Drosophila melanogaster: one gene and its partner. The protein of the gene in region 2 interacts with the protein of the main gene of each other region in a pairwise test. Each region holds a gene or a part of one and is shown on either strand. Other genes may lie near its edges.

The links.
Region 1: the proteins of hid (region 2) and Diap2 interact in binary tests that used the Drosophila melanogaster proteins (3 or more experiments, as listed by UniProt).

The regions. Positions count from the first base shown.
Region 1 is NT_033778.4:15,931,584-15,936,774, reverse strand, and holds Diap2 (Death-associated inhibitor of apoptosis 2), read left to right. Parts: upstream 1-1,949; 5' UTR 1,950-1,977; intron 1,978-2,057; exon of another isoform or gene 2,058-2,194; 5' UTR 2,195-2,204; coding exon 2,205-2,576; intron 2,577-2,955; coding exon 2,956-3,991; intron 3,992-4,054; coding exon 4,055-4,143; 3' UTR 4,144-4,605; downstream 4,606-5,191. Other genes in the region: Mlf (Myelodysplasia/myeloid leukemia factor), read left to right, coding at 195-315; bug (bunker gear), read right to left, coding at 935-1,794, 1,852-1,879.
Region 2 is NT_037436.4:18,182,529-18,187,748, forward strand, and holds the start of hid (head involution defective), read right to left. Parts: upstream 3,114-5,220; 5' UTR 2,595-3,113; coding exon 2,264-2,594; intron 1-2,263.

The DNA of each region.
Region 1 (5,191 bases), on a different chromosome or scaffold from region 2:
ATCCATCACTCGCTTGCCCACATCATCCATTAATGCTCCCTTTGACCTTCTCTTCCTGTTAATAAATTTTCACTTGCGTTCGAATTGGCCTGTGTACGAATGATTATTATGTATACCTTTTGTTTTGTATTGTGCCTTATTCTAATTAATCGTTTCTGTTAATTAATGAACATTTGTTTCTGCTCCGCCAGCAGCATACATCCACATCCCTATGCCGCCAATCCGAGGCGCCAACAACGTGCCGTAAAACATTTTCACACGGAGGACGAAGCGGCCAGCTCCTACAAGGCGGTCAAGCGCGGCAAGAAGAAGTAGTAGAAACGTGATCATCTGTATGCCAACATCTTCCGCATCGCACACTCAAAAACACTAGGAAGCAAAGCGTTGGGTTCTGTTCCATAGCAGGAAAACCAATTCAAATATTTTTTAACAAACACAATTCTTTACCAGTTCTGTCTTATCCTGCGTGAGTCGACCAGAATGCAACACTAAAAAATGTACAACTTCAAGATGCTATTGATGTGCACGCAGGATACAGAACAACTTGCTTAAATTTACTTAAAACAAATGTGACTATTCAACGCCGAAATCATTACAACACACACTCTCAGACCTAATCGAAAAATTCAATGAAAGTAATGGAATATATATGAAATCGTAATTATAAGTTTGAATTATTTGATTAATTCTCAAGTTTTTAGATTTTGTTAGCCACTAAGCTTTAAATTATGGATGCCAGTTAGCGTGCAAATGAACACAATTGATTTGAAGGCTCCGAACGATAGAAAACAACAATTACCAATTCCCCAAATACATGTAATTCGTAAGGCCTAAGTAAATGTTAACGTGAATTTAATTAAATGGTAATTACATTATAATAGTAAATCCAGTGTTCTACTTATGCGACTTATAGAGAATTAAACGTATTAACTAACTAGTCCACCATCTCCATTTGCGTCTCCTCGGATTCCCGCCAAATGCGCTGCACCATCTCTACCAGCTGCTTCCAGAGCGCCGTCTTACGCAGGAAGTTGGCAAGGCAGACGAGAATAAAGGCCCAAGCCAGGCCCAAATAGTAATCCGTCTGCACAATGGGTTTATTAGACAGCGGCTCCATCTCTGCGCGAGTGAGGATGATCGGATCAATGGCCTGCGGATTCACAGTCTTCATATTGGTGTGACTCATTATGAAACTGGCAAAGCTGCTCTTTGTGTCCTTCCACCCGGGCTCGAATTTGATTAGCGGCCTGCCCTGGTGGAATAGCATCAGTGTGGGCAGCGAAACGATGCCGAATTCTGCATTGAAACGACCAAACTCATAGGCATCCACATAGGCGATGGGTAGCGTGGGAAAGTAATGGGGCAGCACGTTGACCATCGAAGCCACACGAGCGCACTCCAAGCTGGATGCGGTGCAGAAATGGACAAGTACACAGTTGCCCGGCTCGTGGCGCTTGGTGGCATTGCCCATGGGCTTAAGCAGATTCACTATATCCTTGGCACTGCGCATTATCAGCAGTTCCGGCTCGGATGCTGTCTCATTCTCGATATCCCGCTGCAGGCACTTCATCATAATAGGTGGCTTTCGAACCGGAGGCAGCTGGTTTAGGTGCATGATGTGCTCGTCATCCGGGGCACATGTGTGTCGCTCCTTCAGCAAGGTTTCGAAGCTATAATGGCACTGGCCCCGCGAAACTCCCAGGGAATACACCGTCAAATTTGAGAAGAGCCCGAAATACTGGAGGGCACTTAGTAATCCGGAGAGTTCCGCCTGGCCCTGCGCGGCGCAGAGCACTGTGGAAGTGGTATAATGTTACTGATTGAAGAACTCGATATAAATAAATAACGTACAAAATACAAACAAGAGATTTTGGTTCATTATATCGTTGGTTGGACAGCTGTTGAAATAGTTGGCTGTTATATGGCACTCGTGAAATACCTGGAAACTTCTTAGGTTTGGATATACCGAATAGCAAGGTAAACTGCTTGACCTTGTTTTTGTAAGCAGTGCCCATTAAGTTGGTATTTCATCGATGAAACATTGACGATGTATCGAAAAACATCGATGCTTATTTTTACATCGCTACAATAAGTTTATATTTTTACCTTACCTTATTTTCATTTTCGTCTGCGCTCGCTGGTGATTCCCTTGGTGGCATTACATCATTGGTGGATCCATTCGGATCCAATTTAGAAGCGCCACGATGACGGAGCTGGGCATGGAGCTGGAGAGCGTTCGCCTGGCGACATTTGGGGAATGGCCCCTGAATGCCCCAGTTTCCGCGGAGGATCTGGTCGCCAATGGTTTCTTTGCCACGGGAAACTGGCTGGAGGCCGAGTGCCATTTCTGCCACGTGCGCATCGACCGCTGGGAATACGGCGATCAAGTGGCGGAGCGCCATCGCCGCTCCTCGCCCATCTGCTCCATGGTTCTGGCTCCCAATCACTGCGGCAATGTTCCCAGGAGCCAGGAGAGCGACAACGAGGGAAACAGCGTAGTGGACAGCCCGGAGTCCTGCTCTTGTCCCGATCTCTTGTTGGAGGCCAATCGCTTGGTAACTTTCAAGGACTGGCCGGTGAGTACCCTGAGCTGGTGTCGCTCGCTTCTGGTGATTCACCATAGCGGGTCATTGTAATCACTATAGTTTCAGTTTCAAGCTCACTATAAGTGCATATGTAAGTATGATTGCGTAGTTAAAAAGTAGCGTAAATGAGGCCAGGAAAATCCCGGTCGAAAGTATCAATGATATTTTTGTATACAAACAAGAAATGTCTTGTTAGCTGCCTCAATTCAGCTGAATGTTGATTGATAATCCTACGAAATTAAGCTTTAATTAAGATATACAAAAATCATTATGAACTTCAAATGAAGTTATTGTATACTGTATAATTTCAAATATTTTTAATGACTGAATAAGATAGTTTAACTTTAGCCCAAAACGTCTTCCTTTGTAGAATCCCAACATCACGCCGCAGGCTCTGGCAAAGGCAGGTTTCTACTACCTGAACCGTCTGGATCACGTGAAGTGTGTTTGGTGCAACGGAGTGATTGCCAAGTGGGAGAAGAACGACAATGCCTTTGAAGAGCACAAGCGCTTTTTTCCCCAATGTCCTCGTGTGCAAATGGGCCCCCTTATAGAGTTTGCCACCGGGAAGAACCTGGATGAGCTGGGCATCCAGCCCACCACTCTGCCACTGCGTCCCAAGTACGCCTGCGTGGACGCCAGATTGAGAACCTTCACCGATTGGCCCATTTCCAATATTCAGCCCGCTTCGGCTTTGGCGCAGGCTGGCCTATATTATCAGAAAATAGGCGACCAGGTGCGCTGTTTCCACTGCAACATTGGATTGCGCTCCTGGCAGAAGGAGGACGAGCCGTGGTTCGAACACGCCAAGTGGTCGCCAAAGTGTCAGTTCGTTTTGCTGGCCAAGGGTCCAGCCTATGTAAGCGAAGTGCTCGCGACAACAGCTGCCAACGCCAGTTCCCAGCCAGCAACTGCTCCGGCTCCAACGCTCCAAGCAGACGTACTGATGGATGAAGCTCCGGCCAAGGAGGCCCTAGCCTTGGGTATCGATGGAGGAGTTGTGCGCAATGCCATCCAGCGCAAGCTCTTGAGTTCCGGCTGCGCTTTCTCTACGTTGGACGAACTATTGCATGACATCTTTGACGATGCGGGCGCAGGAGCTGCACTGGAGGTGCGCGAGCCGCCGGAGCCAAGTGCTCCTTTTATTGAACCATGTCAGGCCACCACCAGCAAGGCAGCATCTGTGCCAATACCGGTGGCCGATTCCATCCCAGCCAAACCACAGGCAGCTGAAGCAGTGGCGAATATATCGAAAATCACAGACGAAATACAAAAGATGTCGGTGGCCACGCCGAACGGAAACCTATCGCTGGAGGAGGAAAACCGCCAGCTAAAGGATGCACGCTTATGCAAGGTATGCTTGGACGAGGAGGTTGGCGTAGTGTTCCTGCCCTGTGGCCACTTGGGTAAGTCGCTGAACTATACCTTGATTGCCTTGAGCTGTAGCTAACTTCCTGTTAACCCGACAGCCACCTGCAATCAGTGCGCCCCCAGTGTAGCCAATTGTCCCATGTGCCGCGCAGACATCAAGGGATTCGTGCGCACGTTCCTTTCGTGAAGTGCATATCGACATCATTTAGAGTTCACCAGCCTAGTTAGCAGTTAAGCAAATCGATTGATTGCACCCACACAAACTACTACAGCGAAGTTCAAATTATCCGGTGATTAGCTAATATAATCGTCTACTAATCGTCTACTAAGTACTTGGCCAACTGCAGCTATTCGTTTTTACATTAGCTACGGTTGTAAGTTGTCGTTACTAACTATCGCATTGTGTCCGAGCGCATCCCTTTTGAACCATACATTATGCACGCTGAAATGACCTTATATAGATGAGCAGCTCTAATTCGCGCTGAAAAGGGTATCAATGCACCGGCACGACCGCAGATCACATGGATTTCTTGTTATAGTACTCTTATTAACACATGTATGTATTTTTGTTGATCATGTTTATAGGCCGCTGATAGTATGGTTTACACACAACTATATGCATTCTCCAATAAATGTATATGTAAATGTTAAAAAATTTGTCTTTTCAATTGCAAAAATTCTTTAAAATAATTTATTTATTTTGCTAAGTTTTAAATCCCAACGGTCTTCAAGTGATGTGCCCCGAGAGATTAGCCTATTAGCTTGCAACAGTCTGATTCCACTGCTCACAACTATCTCGATATCATCGCCATGCACGGTTCGATACTATCGATAGTAGCATCGATGTTTTGACGGCTCTACTCAAAAGTACCAAAATATTGGTATCCAAGCAATCGTTTTCAGCTCTCCGCGTGAAGTCGTGTGCGCTGCTCGTAAGGGAGCTCCATTGAGTTCTGGTCGCGAAAAACTAACAAGCTCCAACGCCAAGAAGTGCAGAAGATAGTGAACAAAATTTAGAAGAACCGAACCGAAGCTACGGGGAATTTTATGTGTGAAATCGAAATTACCAAACGCGCGCTCGTGTGAGTATATTCTGCGAGTATTTCAAAGGAAGAGTTCAAGTGTGTGTGTGTGTGTCTGGTGTTGCTGCTGCATTTTACGGAGTGTGGGCGCTTTATGCTCTTTATAGTGTGGTGTGGCAAGCAGTGGCCATATCCCCCCGCTACACCAGAAAA
Region 2 (5,220 bases):
CTGGGGGAACCAGGAAAAAGGGTTCTCGCTTCTTGGTTAACTACAGTTTATCCCTTTCTTGTTTCAAGGGCTTCAAGCATTGTTCACTAGTTTCGGGATGTGTCACGATTAGATAAATTATCCTCTTGAGTGGCTAACTAAAGTACATGATCGGCGTGCGTTGAGTAGGGGCTTAGATGTGGTTCGGGAAAATGAGATAAGGGAAAATTACTTTTAAATCGAAACTTTCACGATAACGTCAAGTCTTTTTAGCTCGTTTTTCAAAATAAATGCCCCGCAATCGAATTTTCACTGGGCATCAGCTCTCGTAAGCGAAAAAAAAGTATCTCTGTATAAATTATGATATTATAGACGAAAACAGATTGAAGCGCCCAAAAGTGACTCACTGTAATTTCGAGAAGGGAACGCTTTTTTTTCGTCTGACCAACTGTTGCTGACAGCAAAAAAGGTAACAAACCAAATAAAACAGCAAAATAATATAAAGTAACAATTCGGTTGTTCGGTGGAACCAAAGAGCGCAGCTGGCAATCATCGACAGCGACAAAATCTATTATGCAAAGGCAACACAAAATTAAGGAACGCGAATGAAAAACCGCAAAGCAAACATGAAAAGCGCGCGCGCAAAAAAAAGAAAAACAATAAAAACTGACCGCACTCAACGTGGCCGAGCACAAAAGCTACTTAAACAACCGTTAAGTCAAACACTTTGCAAATGGCCCACACCCTCAACCCGTTTGGCCCCCTTTTGGAAAATCGGAAAACTAGTTGCCTAAGGTCAAATGGCGTTTAATAATTTGGGTTAGTCGAGTGGTAAGATATACGAGCAGTACGCTCGAGATAGATAGATATCTTGCAGATACCCAGACACACAGGCACACCACACTCACTCAAAAGTCTCAAAAGTAAGACATTCGACTCGAGTTTGGCGCGTGCCAATTAAACGTGCTTAGCTCTGTGCTCCCAGCTCTGTTTTATTGCCGCTGGGTTATGTTTCCCTGGTTTCAGCCAGGTCTTTATTTTCTTGCTGGTCCAGCACACGCCCAATTTTTTGACCATATTTACGAACAATATCGCATGACAGCCAACTCGGCAGTTGTCTTGCATGTGTCTCGGCGTTTCTTTCTTAAAGCCATAGCACACTAAAAGTTTTATCAGCCTAGTTTAGATAATCATGACCGAAGGAAATTGATCTTAATGTGATTTATCGAGCTAGTTATCACCATTTCTACTTTATTTTCATTTATTTATAACATAAGTAGATTTTTGTCTCAATACAAAATTTTTTAATTTGTAAGATTCCCACTTTGGGAATTTGATCCAGTAATTCCCCACATGATTTTGAGTTTTTGCAGTTTTGTGACTTCGTTTATTAAGTTTGCTCTCTCCTCCAATCGAAACTTCTCAATTACTTCTCAATTTTCCCCTTTTTGAACTTGTTCGATTAATTTTTATTGAATTACCGTTTTTTCGGCTTCCTTTCGAATGTGGCCGAGAAATTTGCCTTCCGCTCTGCCTTTTACACTTTTTTTTTTGCTGATAAGCTGACAAAGTGCTGAATTGACCATATATAAAATAAAAAAAAAACTGGGTAAAAGTAAACAAAAACAACCTGGATGCAGTTGACGCAGTTACTCGAAACTGGATGAATCAACAACCTTGAAAAGTGAAACTTGCACAAGGGGAACTGAAGCAGTTAACAAATAACGTCACAACTTGGCTAATTGCTGACCCATTTTAAAATGAGGGAAACCCTCCGGCTGTCCAGAAACTTTCTTAAACTAAACTAAATGATATTAAAAGCGGTAATCAAAAATATGAAACCTTTAAAGTCGCTTGTATAGAAAAAAATTGTTCGCCATTTTTTATTGATCAAATCTATTAGTTTGAAAATATCTTCAAACATTTAAAATGCTGTTTTTTCGAAAGAAATAAATTTACTATTCTTTAAGCAATTTCAAGTTAATAACATTTTTTGTTTACTTTTACAAGGAGATCCTATGAAAATCCTTCTTGTTAATAGCAAAACAAGTGGGCTTAAATAAAGTGTTGGTTATAAGCATTTTAGAAAATATATTACCAACATGCGTAAGCAGTTATTCTGTGTGGGAACTTCTTAAACATTTCGCAATTAATAACCGTATATGAATCGAAACTTATTTTTGTATCTGCAAATGTATTTGAGGTAAACTAAATGGATATCCTGATTAACCCACACAATTTCAAAGTTCTTAAGAGTGGAGAATTGAGATCTTTGTAGACTTACCACTCTGCTGGCTCTGGTACATCCTGACCCACTCGTAGAGGGCGTATAGCACTTGGTCGGTGGGCAGTGGAGACTGCATCGGCGTCTGCGTGGCCGACGAGGTGGTGGTGTTCGGCGATTGCGAGGCGGCGCTGCTGGCGCCGTCCGACGATGCGGAGGACGAAGATGAGGCCGAGGAGGCGGAGGCCGAGGACACGCCCGAGGAGGAGACGGACGAGGATGCGCTCGAGGGAAGTGGGTGGTTGTGGGGGGAGGAGTTGCCCGAGGCTCCCGATGAACTCGACGCTACGTCATCGGCGCCGCCCTCGGGCAAATAAAAGGGCACGGCCATTGTGTGGGTGTGTGTGTGTGCTGGCTTCCTTTTTGTCCTTATCCGCTTCCTTCCTTCCTGCACTTTGTTGGCACTTTGCTCTTCTTGTGATTGTTCTTCGCTGCTTTGTTTTGCTTTTTATTTTGTGTACAACTTTTGGTTAGAGTTCACTTTAATTGATTTTGTATTTCTTGTGCAAGATTTTGAATATTAGAAACTTTTTCATTTTTCGTGCAGTTTTTTCTTATGATTTGTTTTTTATCTTTCCTGATTTGTCAAACAACACTCAAGTCAAGTTTTTGCTCGGTTAGTTAGTTTTTCGGATTCTTCTGCGTTTTTCATCAACCCTTTTCGTGTTTAGAACTGATTTAAAAACACAAAACTGTTCACGATGGATTTCGTTTTTTATTTTTTGTTATTTTTTTATTCTTTGCTTTTGCTGTTGTCAATTATGGAAGAGCACTTAAAACGTGTCGCAGACTCAAAGAAAGAGGGCAGGAAACACGTCTTACTGGCTCCGCGGCTAAAAATGAACTGTTCGCACTGGGGCCTCAAACTACGGCAACAGAGCCTCTACCGCGACGTCGGCAGAGCGGCAGCGTAGGCGCGCAGCCAGTGCAATCGCAATCTCTCTCGCTCCCTCTCCTGCACATGCACGTGCATGAAGGAGGCACACTTGAGAGAAAAAAAATATTTTAAAAAATCCCGCTCTTTACCTACCCTGTAATAGCTGAGTGAGGAAGAGTATACTCGGACCATGAATTGCGTCTACATAAATGCATCAAGGAGCATAGTTAACATATCTAGATTTTAAGGTTGTAAAAATTTAATTGATTGGCTTTCGCATACTGAAAAAACTGAAATATTGTACCAGCGCACTAATTGCTGAAGTAACACTATTTTATAACTCATATTTACTTACAACATAAAGTACATATTTAGATGCACAAACAATGTGAAGGGTATGTCTCAGTTGGTACTCTTACAAAACGTTCTTTCTCGTTTCAACTAAGAGTGTGTGGGCAGGCTGTGTACGCGTGTATGTGTGGGTACACAAAGATCTTGTCGAGCAGGTAAATTCAGAAGAAGAAGAAAACTCATCAGAAGTAGCGAAGAGGCAGTATATCCGACTGCGCTGCCTAGCGAACGCTAAAGCAAAACAAAAACTGCAATTGTACAACACTCTTTGCTTGTGGTTTTCGTTATTGCACTTTGCTCTTGCTTTCGGTTTTGATTTGTATTTGTTTAAACAAGAGAGCGGAGGGAGAGCAAGCGTTCTTAAGAGGCCAAAAAACCGGAGTAGAAAGAGTATGATAAATGGGAGTATATTCTATGAGCGGATTAAATGAGTTAAAAAGGTAGTAGAAAAAAGGGAGTTTTTAGACAAAGCTTGATTACTTTCTCACATTTTAAAATATTTTGAGAAGGGAAGTTCACAATTTTATAATGTTCAATACTTTTTTTTTGAATATAAATTTGAAAAATAGCAACATGATTAACAAAGGATCCAACTTGCTTAGCTCAGGTTTTACTGGCTAAATGAATGTACATATGTATGTATGTATGTACATTTATGCAGAGAATGATTAGCTAGTTTATTGTATTTAATAAAATAAATTAAATTGTTTTATATTTTGGGTATTCAAGCAATGTAATAAAGACTATTTAGTTGGCGTTCATTCACATTAAACATTTCAAACGTGTTTTTGAATATACGATAAGGAGTTTAGCTAATTACATTTCCGATTTGGATGTTGGCTATATTTAATCAATTTCACCATATATCAAAAATTGACTGTGCAACATGAAAAACCTGTTTTCGCTCTTACTCTTGTCTTCCTCTGCATCTTCCCCTCTCCCTCCCACACATTATACAAACAGGCTTTTTCCTCTCCTTTTCTCTCTCTCTCTCTCTCTCTCTATTTCCTTCTCTGTCATTCCCAACTTTGCGCGCGAAAACGCTTGAAAAAAATTACGAAATACGCGTAAAACAATTCTTGGCTTTTAATTTAAATTTTACGGCAAATAATTCTCGTAACTGGCATTACTTTAGATCCATTTATTAGCTTTGTATCTATGTAGCTCTAGTAGCTCTCTTAATAATGTGGTATTATAAAATGTTCGCAATATAATTTAAAACAAATTAGATTCTAGACCTAAAACTAGTTTAATAGCCCATATTTCAAAATAAAAGAGGCCCGTCGAAAATTCTGAAGAAAATGCACTTGCATTTAATCTAGTTTTATTATACTTGTTCATATCCCTTAAATGATTACCTTAAATTTTTAAAATCAAAAATGATTTTAGCCCTACCTGACACCTTTTTTGTTTTCACCCAAAAACTCTCTTTATTTAATAAACTAAGATTGAGGTCAAAAATATGCCGATAAAGTGCGATAACACGTAAGCTAAACGACTCGACGACAAATGTATGTACGTAAGTATGTATGGATGAACATACATGAATATGTACATTATGCAAGGATTTCCCAAGATGACGAAATTCAAGCACACTCTTGCACAAAACGACATAAAAAACATGAACATGAGCGAGCATGCAACAAGCGAAGAAGTCCAAAGCGAAAAGAACAAAAGTACGTGAAGGCGGAGAAAACGGGGATTAATCGGAAAAAAGGGGCTCGATTTT